Canis lupus familiaris: one gene and its partners. The protein of the gene in region 2 interacts with the protein of the main gene of each other region in a biochemical or structural test. Links are inferred from orthologs where the notes say so. Each region holds a gene or a part of one and is shown on either strand. Other genes may lie near its edges.

Region 1 (4,150 bases), on a different chromosome or scaffold from region 2:
GTTCAATCCTAAATTTGTGACTCCATTCTCCTAAACTCTTAAATTTATCAACTTACAGGAGTAAGACATGAAAATACTTAGGAAAATTAAAGGAGTCACCTGGTAAATAAATATTCATTGTGAATAAACATACATATACTATAGAAACTAAACTACTGGGATCCCTGGGTGGCGCAGCGGTTTAGCGCCTGCCTTTGGCCCAGGGCGAGATCCTGGAAACCCGGAATCGAATCCCACGTTGGGTTCCCGGTGCATGGAGCCTGCTTCTCCCTCTCCCTCTGCCTGTATCTGTGCCTCTCTCTCTCTCCGTATCATAAATAAATAAATAAATAAAAGACTGTTAAAAAAAAAAAAAAAAGGAAAAAAAGAAACTAAACTACTTTTGAGGGAAATATATTAACTAGATGTAATTACTCTTTTTAATTAGTTCCTTGAAGTTTGTCCTAACTCAAATGATTCAGAAAAATGTCAACACTAAGAACTTTAGGTTTCAAAGATCAGCAGGATCAGAAATTTTGGAGAATAGTGAGCTGAACATTAGTCAACCCTACTATGCAAACTCCAGAAAAGGTGAAGTGATATTACACTGAACTTTAAAAATATATTCAGTGACTTGAACACCCAAGATAATATCAGAGTTCTGCTCTGCTGTGGATGCCACAGCAAAAGAATTATGTCAAAGTACATTAAATTCTTAGGAGACACGAATCAAATCCCAAATCACATCAAGGCAGCTAATATAATAATTAGGGATACTGAGGCTATAGAGGAAAAAGACAAAACAGGAGCAGAACAACTAGATGTCTTTAAATACTTGCAGGATAATCAGAAAAGGAACTAGCATTGTTTTAACTGGCCCTAGGAACAAGAACCAGTGGATGAACAGTATAAGAATGCAGATTTGGCTTAACAATACTTTTCCATATTAGCTTCAGAAGTCAATAAATATGAAGAGTGAGAGGAGAGGGGCACCTGGGTGGCTCAGTCGGTTGAGCGTCTGCCTTTAGCTCAGGGCATGATCCCAGGGTCCTGGGATTGACCCGTCTGTCGAGCTCCCTGCTCATCAAAGTCTTTTTCTCCTTTTGGTTCTGCCTGCTTGTGCTCTTTCTTTCAAATAAATAAATAAATAACATCTTAAAAAAAAAAAAAGAGGAGAAATTTACATAAAGTAGGAAAAAGGAGTCAAAAAAACTGGGCATACTGAATGAGCATTCAACAAACATTTAGGTGCTCCTCTGAAGCAGGACATTAAGTCATGCAGATTAGAATGAATTACATCCATAAGTGAAGCTGACTTCCAATCTTCTATGACAAGAAAAAAGGCAAAGTACGGATGATTCTGAAAGGTATATTTTATGAAGAACAGTCTCTAAGTGGTATTCAAGATATTGCACAATTCCACATGAGACAAGATGATGGACTGTTCTAGTAAATGGTAATGGAGCCAAAAGGAGCAGAGATTTATGGAAACATTTCAGAACTAGAGCTCATGTTACTTGATGACTCTTGGAATAACAGTATTTAGCAGGATTTTTGTGCTAATCTAGCTATTCATCTATTAATAATAACAACAATGGAAGCAAACACACAGTGCTATCTAGGGTGTCAGGCAATGTTCTGAACGTTTTACATAGATTAACTCATTTCATTCTCATAACCCTTTGCAATATATTCTATTATCACGCACATTTTAACGGATGAGAAACTAAGGCTTAGCTTCTATCAGGAGAGTTAGGCAGACAACCGATGTCAAAGTTCTATTAAGAGGTTAGATGCCAGATGGATCTACATAATCCCGGAGCCAAAGCTCTTAAATCAGTAGACAGCTGTAAGGGGAGGCAACAAAACCCAAGGCAGGCTGCATATAATGAGTTAAGAGCCCAGTGGAGTGAGAGCGTTGGCGGAAACACAGGGGTTTGAGGAGAAAGATGACTGAAAGCTAAGTGAGGATTTAGCGGTATCAGAATCACAGGACGTGCTTGTTTTGAAAAAAAGAAAAAAAAAAAAGAGAGAAGAAACAACTCAAACAAACAAAACCTGCATTGAATCCAATTTCCTAAGAGATGGGACCTAGGAAATTTTTTTTTTTTTTTTAAAGCAAAAGCATAACCGAGAAACCCTGGGTAATATTGAGGCCCAAGTAAGCTTTAAAAAGTGCTGTGGCAGATCTCTAAGGTTTCTTAGCGTTTTAGCATTCCAGTCGACACTCTAAATGAATTTCCCAAAAAAATGAAAAGAAGGAGGGGAGATTCCAGCAGTTAAAAAAACAACAAAAACAAAAACACAAAAAACGGCCATGCGTTTACAGTCAACACCGTGTACGCTCCCATTTTTCACTAAACAGGTCCTCACGGGAACAGGGATAAAAAGCAGGCAACGGAAGGAGGGGTGTGGTGTTAAAAAAGCAGGCTTGGGGCAGAACTTTCTGGTACAATTTGCCCGCCAAGGAAAACCTCCCTGACTATAAATACATGTGACAATCCGACTGAAAAATGAGGTGGATTCCTCGGATCCGGGTCCGGCTAACGAAGGATGCCAATATGGTCTTGTACGTGCTCAAAGCGTCGCAGGGAACCTCTAGGCTGGGGCCTGTCTGCTCCAAGGCCAAACCAACCGGGGCTCAGCAGAGGAGGTTGTCTGCTCCGCAATTACAACCTCAAGCACCCTGCTCCCGGAGACCACCTGTGCGCACGTACCCGAGGGTCCCCTCGTAAGATTGATTTCCTCCTCAGTGACCAAGTAATCCACTCTTCCGTTCATGTCTCACCGCTCGGCCGGCTCCGCGCCCGGGTCGGCTGGGACTCGCGCAGGTGAAGGTGAACCAATCTCTGCGCGCCACCCGAGGCACAACGCTTTCGGTTTCAGCAGCCCGCGGACCGGAAGAGGAAGGCGGGCGCGCTGGGAGCGCGGGGCATGCTGGGAGTCGTGGTTCGGGCGGCCAGCCCGCCATCTTTACCTCGCCCGGGTCCGCGCCGCCAGCTCTGAGGTGAGCGACGAGCCGCTTGCCGTCCTCCTTTACCGTCGGGAGTGGGCGTCGTCGAGGTCACTCAGTTGATATTGGTGAGGAGAAATTAAACATGAAATCTCCTGACATCTTAGAAAATCGCTACAAACCTGGGTGTGGGGGGTGGGAAATAAGTTCTGTTACTCAGTAATCCTGAGACCCGAGTGGGAGGAGGGGCGTGCCAGGCGTTGCCGCTAATGCGACTGCAGAGCACGAAGTAGCCGGGCAGGTACCATCCGTTCGATGCGCGTTCTCGTGTAAGAGTTTGCTGTATTCGTTCTTCGGTAAGTCGCCCCTGTAGTGGCCACCCACTTTGTTACTGAATTGCCGTGATCCAAAAGGAAAATAAAACTATGACAAGCAGGTACTTAAAAGCTTGGAGCAAGGCGCTGAGGCGGTAACTCCTACGGGTGAGGGGAGACGGGGCACTATCTTCCTTGATATTTACATTTCAGAGACTTGTACCTCACAAGAGGCTTTTGGGCTTTTAGAAAATTGTATGTATATATAGAAGAGACAAAGGAGGGGTACCTAGGTGGCTCAGTCCTTTAATCCTCCAACTCTTGATATCTGGCCGGGCCCTGAGCTCAGGTTGGTCGGGTCTGTGGAGGCCGAGAATATTAAGGCCATTCCACTCTAAGTTCAGTGTCAGCACGAGTACAGCCATCCCAGGCCCCTGTGAATAAGAGCCGAACTTTACCTTACTTCAGTTACAGGAAGAAAACAGCTTAAAGCTTAACGTCCTAGAAAGCCCCATATTAGAATAAGAACAGAGCTCAATGCCCTTGAAAGCCCCATATCAGAATGTAAACAGAACTTGAGAAATGGTGCAGCCACTCTGGAAAACTGTGTGGAGGTTCCTCAAAGAGTTAAAAATAGACCTGCCCTACGACCCAGCAATGGCACTGCTGGGGATTTACCCCAAAGATACAGATGCAATGAAACGCCGGGACACCTGCCCCCCGATGTTTCTAGCAGCAATGTCCACAATAGCCAAACTGTGGAAGGAGCCTCGGTGTCCATCGGAAAATGAATGGATAAAGAAGATGTGGTTTATGTATACAATGGAATATTACTCAGCCATTAGAAACGACAAATACCCACCGTTTGCTTCGAAGTGGATGGAACTGGAAGGAATTATGCTGA
Region 2 (3,434 bases):
TACAAGCTTTCTCATAACTTGTGTTATGTATGTATGGGGCTAAAGGATTCAAGGGAACATAGGGGACCCCAGAAAAGTGACATTTCTTAGACTCATACTCTCAAAGGTGTTCATCCAGTAACTGTTATTTCAGGAGAATGAGATCCTGACTGAACAGGAAGAGCTTCTAGCCATGGAGCAGTTTCTGCGCCGTCAGATTGCCTCAGAAAAAGAAGAGATTGAACGCCTCAGAGCTGAGATTGCTGAAATTCAGAGGTAAAGGAAAGCGGAAGGTTTTGAGTTTGCAAGAATGTTTACTGAAATATAAACATAAAATTGTTTCAGCTCTCAGACTTTCATATGCAAGAACTAGGCATCTGAATCAGTCATTTTTAAGTTTCTTCTTTTCTCTCTTTTTAAAAAATCTATTTATTTGAGAGAGTGTGTGCATGCAGTTGCAGGGGAGACAGAATCCGAAGCAGACTCTCTGCTGAGCACAGAGCCCTTGGGCTCCATCCCGTGACCCCAAGCTCATGACCTGAGCTGAAACCAAGAGTCAGAAGCTCACTTGACTGAGCCACCCAGGTGGCCCTGAGTTTCTTCTTAAGTCTTAAGAATGGTGCTGTATTAAGCAAATTCAAGGAAACCTGGTGAATCTAAAGGAAGGGTGGGGAGGGAGCAGCATTCCTTCCTCTGATCACTGGTCCTTTTCTCTTGGCAGCCGTCAGCAGCATGGCCGCAGTGAGACCGAGGAGTACTCCTCTGACAGTGAGAGTGAGAGTGAGGATGAAGAGGAGCTGCAGATCATCCTGGAGGACTTACAGAGGCAGAATGAAGAGCTAGAAGTAAGCACCAGCTTCCAGAAACTCCTAGAGGCCACCTCTTCCCCTTGGAAGTGGTCTTCCTTTCCTTGGGAAACAGTGAGGCAGCTGAGTAGAGAGGAATTTAGGGGACCTTTCCCCAGAGAACAGATTCCTGTGTAGGAGGCCCCCACTAGCCGTTCTCTGTTCCTGAATCATTGTCATCTTGACCTTCTTAAGTGACAGCTGTTCTCTTGTCACCCCTCCAGATAAAGAACAATCACTTGAATCAGGCGGTTCACGAGGAGCGGGAGGCCATCATCGAACTGCGGGTACAGCTCCGCCTGTTGCAGCTGCAGCGAGCCAGGCCCGAGCCGCAGGGACAGGACGATGACGAGCCGCCCAGAGACGGCGCCCTGGAGGTGAAGGCAGCTAAGGAGCAGCCGAAGGCAGGCAAGGAGCAGGCCAAGCCGTCACCAAGCAGAGACAGAAAGGAGACACCCATCTGAGCGGCCCGAGCGTCACGGAACCTCCAGACCCGACGAGACCTGTGCATCTTACTGTAATCCCGAGAGTCAGAGTGCACAACTCTCCGCTGTACATTCTGTAAAGATGTCTTTCCTTCTCAGACTCTTCCTTCTCTCACACGTATGACTTCTCCGCGTCAGGCTCAGGTTACACAGGAGGACAGAGCAGTGCACGCATTGTGGGCTTGTAGGGGACAGATGAGATTTCCAGATAGTGTCAGCTTATTTAAAGATTAATTTTGTTAACTAAAACTATTTTAACCCTTGAGTGGCTTCTTTTTAAACCAAAAATTGTCTTTCTTTGCTTTTTTATTATAGCAGAATCAGGATCTCTTCCTCTCGTTCGGGGTGGGGGTGGGGGAGAGCCAAACAAGGTAAATACTGTTTCCGCCTTGTGGATTGCCCCATAGCCTCACCGTCCGGGATCTCTGCTTACTAGTCACTCCTGCTTGTGCCTTTTACACCTTTCCGGTGCAGATTATATAATGGGGAGCTGCCTCATATTTCCTGACTGGCCACAATGGCTCTTATGGAGGTTACCTTTACCCACCCTGTCACCCTCTCCTCTGACAGTCCTAAACCACAGTCCATGGGCCTGAGTCACGGGATGGCCCAGCCAGTCACAGACAGAACTGCCAGGGGAGCCTGCCTGCCCGCCCCAGGCAGCGTGGCTCGCGTGGCCGCCTCCTCCTGCCGGCTCCTCGCTGCTGGTGATCAGCGCGTGCTTTTCACTGGGTCGGTCGAAGGTAGCTGCCTGACCTAAGACGTTCATGCAGAGGATCTGTTGCTTAACCCAGAAATCTGTCTGACCTGCCATTAAACACAGAAGGACGTAGATTGCTTGCTTGGGCTAGAATGTAAAAGTCTCTTTGCCTGAATAAGCCATATATGCTCTTAAACACAAGTCTTCAGTTCCCTGTATCATCTCCGCGAACCTGCTGATGGACTCCCGATTGACGAGATTGAGCAATAGAAAAACACTTTCCCTTTAAGTGATAGCTGTGATCCCTGACCCCGTCCTCTTGCTTCTACAGCTTGTCTGGTGACTGAGGCATCTGGGAGGTCAGCTCTCAGGCACCTGGGATCGGTCACCCTGTCTGAGTAAACGGCACCCATGAGGTAGGTGAGCTCTCATGGCTGTGAAGACATACCCCACACACTCAAGGTGATGGAAACAAACCCCCACGAGGGCTCTGTCCTCTCCTAGTTACTATTTATTTTCAGCACCTGTTTGATGCGGTTTTTTTATTCTCTACCTATTGCACTGTTGTGACTTGTTGGCCATTGTTTGATTTTTGTACGAGAAAAAGCTTTGTTATAGAAATCAGCATACTATTTTTTTAAATCTGGAGAGAAGATATTATGGTGACTGCAGATATGGTCAGGTGTCAAATATAAACGTATAAAAGCCTTCTTGCTGTCCTGTCGGTCATATTACATTCATTTCATATTTGCTGGCAATATTGAAGGTTTCTTTTTTGTTTGTGTAAACTCTTAATTTCTATCAAGGTGTCATGGATTTTTAAAATTAGTATTTCATTACAGTTGTCTCAGCATTGGTTAACTAATTTTTGCCAGGACCATTATTGATCAAGCAAATAAATTCAACAGCCATTTGAGGAAAAAAACAGCAGTGTCTTTTTTGTACACATTCTCTCTTTGTAGGAGTTAGTGTCCCACGGCTGGCAAGGAGTTGGTGGGCTACCTTCTTGAAGGTCCAAGCATATACTAACCTTTGGTTTAACTCGCTGCCTGCTGCTCACTCGGACCGGATGCCCCTTGCCCATTGCTAGGGTTCGCTGTGCTTCGAGTGGGTGCCGGCTGCTGACCAGGATCGGGGCTGTGGCTGGCTCTGCGAGCGACGTCCTGCCTACAGCGGAAAGTGCCCTTCGAAACCATGCACGGGGCAGTCAGCCCAACTTGGCAATATAGCAGGTCGGTTATTGCAAAGTCCTTTTCCTTTAGGGGCTGGCAGGGGCGTCTGATCATCTAACTAGCATTGGTTATGACGCCACTGCTGGGAGAGCTGAACCTATCATCACGTTGTGTTTGCCCACATGGGGCTTAGCATAAGTGACTCTGTTTGGGCATCTGATTTCTGACAGTAACCCCCCTTTTGATGAGATGC
Region 3 (4,241 bases), on a different chromosome or scaffold from region 2:
CTTCTAATGCACAAGAGCAGGACTCCCATGTGAGCCAGGCTTCTCCTTAAATAAGTCTCCCTCAAACATCATTGGTGAACCCCAAAACCCATCAGCCCCCCCAAACCACAAAACAGCCCAAATTTTCCATTTCTCTACAGGTACAAAGAGATCACTCCAGGGGGCACCTGTGGCCAAACCTAGCATGATCTCAAATGTGAACCCCCAAAGTAAATCATGACCCCCCAGTACACTCCCAGCCCCCAGCCCCAGATCAGGCCTGCCTAACCCCTCCCCACAAACTCATACCCTCCCCCCAGTTGAGAGCCCCCCTATCGTGCTTACCTTGGTTGTCACTATACAGAGACAGTCCATGTTGGGGGGGCTGGCCGCGGCGGCGGGTAAGGGGCTCTGACTTCATCGGAGTTTCGTTCCTCCCCTCTGTGGGTTCTCACCCCTCCCCCCTCCGCACCCCACTTTTGCAGGGGGGGCCAGGATGGGGGGAGGGGTGAGAGGGGAAAGAGGGGGTTGGAGAAGGGAAGGGGAGGGGTGCGTGGGAGGGAGGGGAAGGGGGCCCTAGAAGGGAGTCCCCAGTGGAGGGGAGGGGGCCTGGGGAGCACACCCCGATTCTCAGGAGGGGCGGGGGCACCGGGGGCTGGCAGCCCCGGAGTTCGGGGGCTGGGGCATGAGCTGGGTGGGGGAGGGGAACTGGATTTCAGGGAGCCCCGGGGTAGGGGGGGGGTCTTGCCTGCCGGCCAGGGGCTAGGGCCGCGGCGGGGGAGTGGGGTGGGGGGGTTGGAGGCGGCAGCGGCCGAGGGAGCCGTGGAGCCGAGGAGGGAAGGGGAGAGAGGAGGAGAGAGGAAGCAGGGGGAGGGAGGGAGGGAGCGAGGAGCGAGGATGGGGGGGTGCCTTGGCAGAGTTAACTGCTTCAGTGCTGGCAGGAACCCGGATAATGGGAGAGGAGAGCAGAGCGGAGGCAGACAGGCCCCAAGGCAAAGATGGAGGCCTGGCCAGGCACCAGCGCCAGAGATCAGGAGGCCTCCTGGGTCTCAGGAGAGGAAGCACCCGCTGTGGGGCTGGCAGCACCCATGCTAGTTGCAGTGCTGGCTGGCGGGAGGGGGGGTCTGGGGGGGCAGGCAGGGGGGAGTCCGGTGGGGGGGCAGCTCTCCCTCAGGCTGCACAGGAGGAAGGATGAGAAGTAATTCTGTGCTGGACTCCTTATGCCCGAAATTGGGGCCAAGGGAGGAGGGGGGCGGGGAAGCAGAAGGGGAAAGGGACCAACAGGACCGTGGAGTCTGGGATTCTCTGCACCCCGGGCTCAGAAGTCTGTCTTCAAGGCCCCCAAGGGTGGGGCGGCAGCTCGGCCCCTGCCCTGTCTGCCCCTCTGGGGAGGCGCCCCACCTCACCCCCTTACCTGGCTCTCTGAGATGGAAGCCTCATAATAGTCCAGGATGTCTGTCACCAGAATACAGCTGAGTTACCCTCCCCCACCCCACCTGGGGGGGCTCCCCTGCCCCCACCCCTGCCCTGACTGCTGCTGGCACCTTAGGGCCTCCTGGCTGCCAACCGGACAGTCCCCCAAGTGTGTTCACTGCCCTGGCAGGCCCAGGCCAGCCCTTCGCACCCCAGCGTCCCCAGAGAATCAGGGCTACTCACCCAGCAGGGCCTGGAAGAGGTCACTGTGCAGGACAGCCAAGAGAGGGGGCGCCCATCGCAACAGTGGGGGGGCCAGGAGCCAGAGGGCTGACCGGGGAGCTGGTGAAATGCAAGCGAGGGAGGAATGGGATGGGGAAGAGACCCATGGACCAAGGCGCGGCTCACTCACCTCCCCTAGCCTGTCCCCTCTCCCTGGGCTTAAGTGGGGTGGGGAAGGATCAGCAGGAGGGTCCTCAAGTCCCAGCCCCACTCGGCTCCGCCCCCAGGCCTTTCCTCCATGGGACTCTCCAGTTTCACCTCTGGGTCTCTCGGACATCTCTCTTCTCTGATTTTAATCTCCCTAATCCCCAGGGTTGGAGCTGAGCTGCCTCCCCACCAGGTTCCAGCCTTTAGCCTTTAGCCACCGAAGTGGGCAGTCCTGTCCTAACCCCCTGGGTCGCCTGGCACAATGGTCTCTCTTCCCAAAGCCAGGGGTGAGTTTGCTGCACTTTCCAGAGGGACTGGGCACTGGGGACGGGGGTGGGGGTGGAGGGGTGTCCCCAAGGAGGCTCCTGCAGCCCCAGCCCAGGCCTCTCCCCACTGGGTGTGTCAGCAGGGCAGGGGTATACATGACCTATACATGACCTGGGACTCCTTGACCCAGAGCTAGGTGTGTGTGGTGAGAGTGGGCGACAGAAGAATCCCTACAGTTCCACTCCCCCTGGGAAGAGTCCAGGATGTCACACAGTCTCAGGAGGAAACAAGGGCAGAGACTCCAGCGCCCCAATGGGGAGGCGGTGAATTTGCAGAGGGGAAGGGAGGGGAGGGCCCTACGGTGAGAATTCAGGTGTTTCTAAAGTTAGTGACACCTCAGGTCTCAGGAGAATATACCTGGGCCGCCCCACGCCACCATGTCCCTCCCTCTCGTGTTGATGGAGATGGGTTTCACAAGGGACTCCATAGAGTCATCTGCCCCTGCTTCCGCCGTCTTACATTTTTTTTCTCCCACCTCTCCCTTCCAACTCCACCGGGGAAGTCCTCCTGTTGGCCCACCCTCCATCCCTCCGGCTGCAAAAGCCTGAGCTGCTCCTCCTTCCACCCCAGCCTATCCCATCGCCCCTTCCGAGGGCTACACTCGAGCTGGGCCGGGTGGGACGAAGGCGTTTGGGAGAGACGGAAACGTCTGGAGATAGCCCTACGTTAACCAGAATGCAGGGGCGGGGTGGGGGAGGCCCCGCCCCGGAACTACATCTCCCAGCATGCGCTGGCGGCCGGAAGCCCAGCCCCCCCGGTGCATTGTGGACGATGAGTCAAGACCGGACCAGGGCAGCCAGTCTTTGGCAGACGGGTGGACGGCGCTAGATCTGCGCTCAGGACCGCGGCGACCGGAGTGGTTGGGAGATGCAGGCGGCACGGATGGCCCCGAGCGTGGGGCGGCAGCTGCGGAGGCTGGGGGTCGGAAGGTGCGAGTCGGACAGGAGGGCAGGGCCGGGGTGGCAGCGGGACCGGGGACCCGGACTGAGCCCCCGCTCCCCACAGCTCGCGGCCCAGCGCGCTCCTGGGGCAGCCCCTGCCCGGTCCGGCCTGCCGACCCTATGCCAGTGGGGCCGCTCAGGTGAGTGACGGCGGCCTGGGGCGCGCAGAGCGGGAGGCGGAGTCCGCCTCGGCTCCCCCTTCCCCGCCGCCGGCAGGGGTCTCCCTCTCCGTCCCGGACACCTGGCGCCCGCGGTAGCGCCGAAAGTAGGGGAAAGGGCAGGCCAGGGTGCCCTGACGATGGAAGTAGGGGAAAGGTCGCTGCGTCCGCCTCCGCCCGCACCCAGCGCTTCCCGTGGTCTCCAGCTCCTCGGGAGTCCCTTACCGGGCCTCGCTAACTGTCCCTTTCCCCAGGCGGTTCTGGAGAAGTCAGATTCCCACTCCTCTGAGGCTCCGACCAGAGAGAAGCAGGCCAAGGCGGTACGTGGCCTCCATACCGGGAGGACCTAGGCCAGGGGCTCACCCACTGCAGCAGACAGCTCGCTGAAACCCCCTTCTCCCTGAGCAGGAATCCAAGTCCTTTGCTGCGGGGATGTTCAAGGGTCAGCTCACCACCGATCAGGTGTTCCCTTACCCATCTGGTAAGTAGTCGTCGGGGCGGGGCAGGGCAGGGCCTCTCCACTTCCCCGGTGACCTGACCAGCCTGTCCTTCTCCCCCACAGTACTCAGTGAGGAGCAGACCCAGTTTCTCAAAGAACTGGTGGGGCCTGTGTCCCGTTTCTTTGAGGTGAGGAAGGACTGGGGTGGGGGAACAGAGGGCTTTGGTCCCTGATGGGATGGCAGAGGTGTTCAGCAGCCAGAAAGGAACCTGGATGCGACATCCTGTGCCTTCTCCAGGAAGTGAACGATCCTGCCAAGAATGACACGTTGGAGAAGGTGGAGGAGACCACACTGCAAGGCCTCAAGGAGCTGGGGGCCTTTGGTCTGCAAGTACCCAGCGAGCTGGGTGGTGTGGGCCTCTGTAACACCCAGGTGAGGGAGCCCTGGTCACTGCCAGCATCGCAGGCTATTCCAACATTGCTGATTAAGCGCCTTCCTCATGTGACCTAGGGTTTAGGTTTGTCAGTTAAGGGGGGGCCTGTGTGATGTTGACT

What was found.
Region 1: the proteins of RALBP1 (region 2) and SYNJ2BP form a complex in vitro, tested with the Homo sapiens proteins (2 studies listed by BioGRID and IntAct, with this or other methods). The link is inferred for Canis lupus familiaris from reciprocal best matches to the Homo sapiens genes RALBP1 and SYNJ2BP.
Region 3: the proteins of RALBP1 (region 2) and DLG4 interact in a biophysical measurement, tested with the Homo sapiens proteins (2 studies listed by IntAct, with this or other methods). The link is inferred for Canis lupus familiaris from reciprocal best matches to the Homo sapiens genes RALBP1 and DLG4.

The regions. Positions count from the first base shown.
Region 1 is NC_049229.1:44,347,995-44,352,144, forward strand, and holds the start of SYNJ2BP (synaptojanin-2-binding protein), read right to left. Parts: upstream 2,801-4,150; 5' UTR 2,761-2,800; coding exon 2,697-2,760; intron 1-2,696. UniProt on the Homo sapiens protein: Regulates endocytosis of activin type 2 receptor kinases through the Ral/RALBP1-dependent pathway and may be involved in suppression of activin-induced signal transduction.
Region 2 is NC_049228.1:75,593,877-75,597,310, forward strand, and holds the end of RALBP1 (ralA-binding protein 1), read left to right. Parts: intron 1-133; coding exon 134-255; intron 256-700; coding exon 701-824; intron 825-1,048; coding exon 1,049-1,288; 3' UTR 1,289-2,934; downstream 2,935-3,434. UniProt on the Homo sapiens protein: Multifunctional protein that functions as a downstream effector of RALA and RALB. As a GTPase-activating protein/GAP can inactivate CDC42 and RAC1 by stimulating their GTPase activity.
Region 3 is NC_049226.1:32,393,065-32,397,305, forward strand, and holds the start of DLG4 (disks large homolog 4), read right to left. Parts: upstream 2,801-4,241; 5' UTR 2,675-2,800; coding exon 2,506-2,674; intron 1,831-2,505; exon of another isoform or gene 1,735-1,830; coding exon 1,636-1,734; intron 1,435-1,635; coding exon 1,394-1,434; intron 512-1,393; exon of another isoform or gene 355-511; coding exon of another isoform or gene 325-354; intron 1-324. Other genes in the region: ACADVL (very long-chain specific acyl-CoA dehydrogenase, mitochondrial), read left to right, coding at 3,016-3,077, 3,154-3,229, 3,502-3,567, 3,656-3,728, 3,810-3,874, 3,985-4,119. UniProt on the Homo sapiens protein: Postsynaptic scaffolding protein that plays a critical role in synaptogenesis and synaptic plasticity by providing a platform for the postsynaptic clustering of crucial synaptic proteins.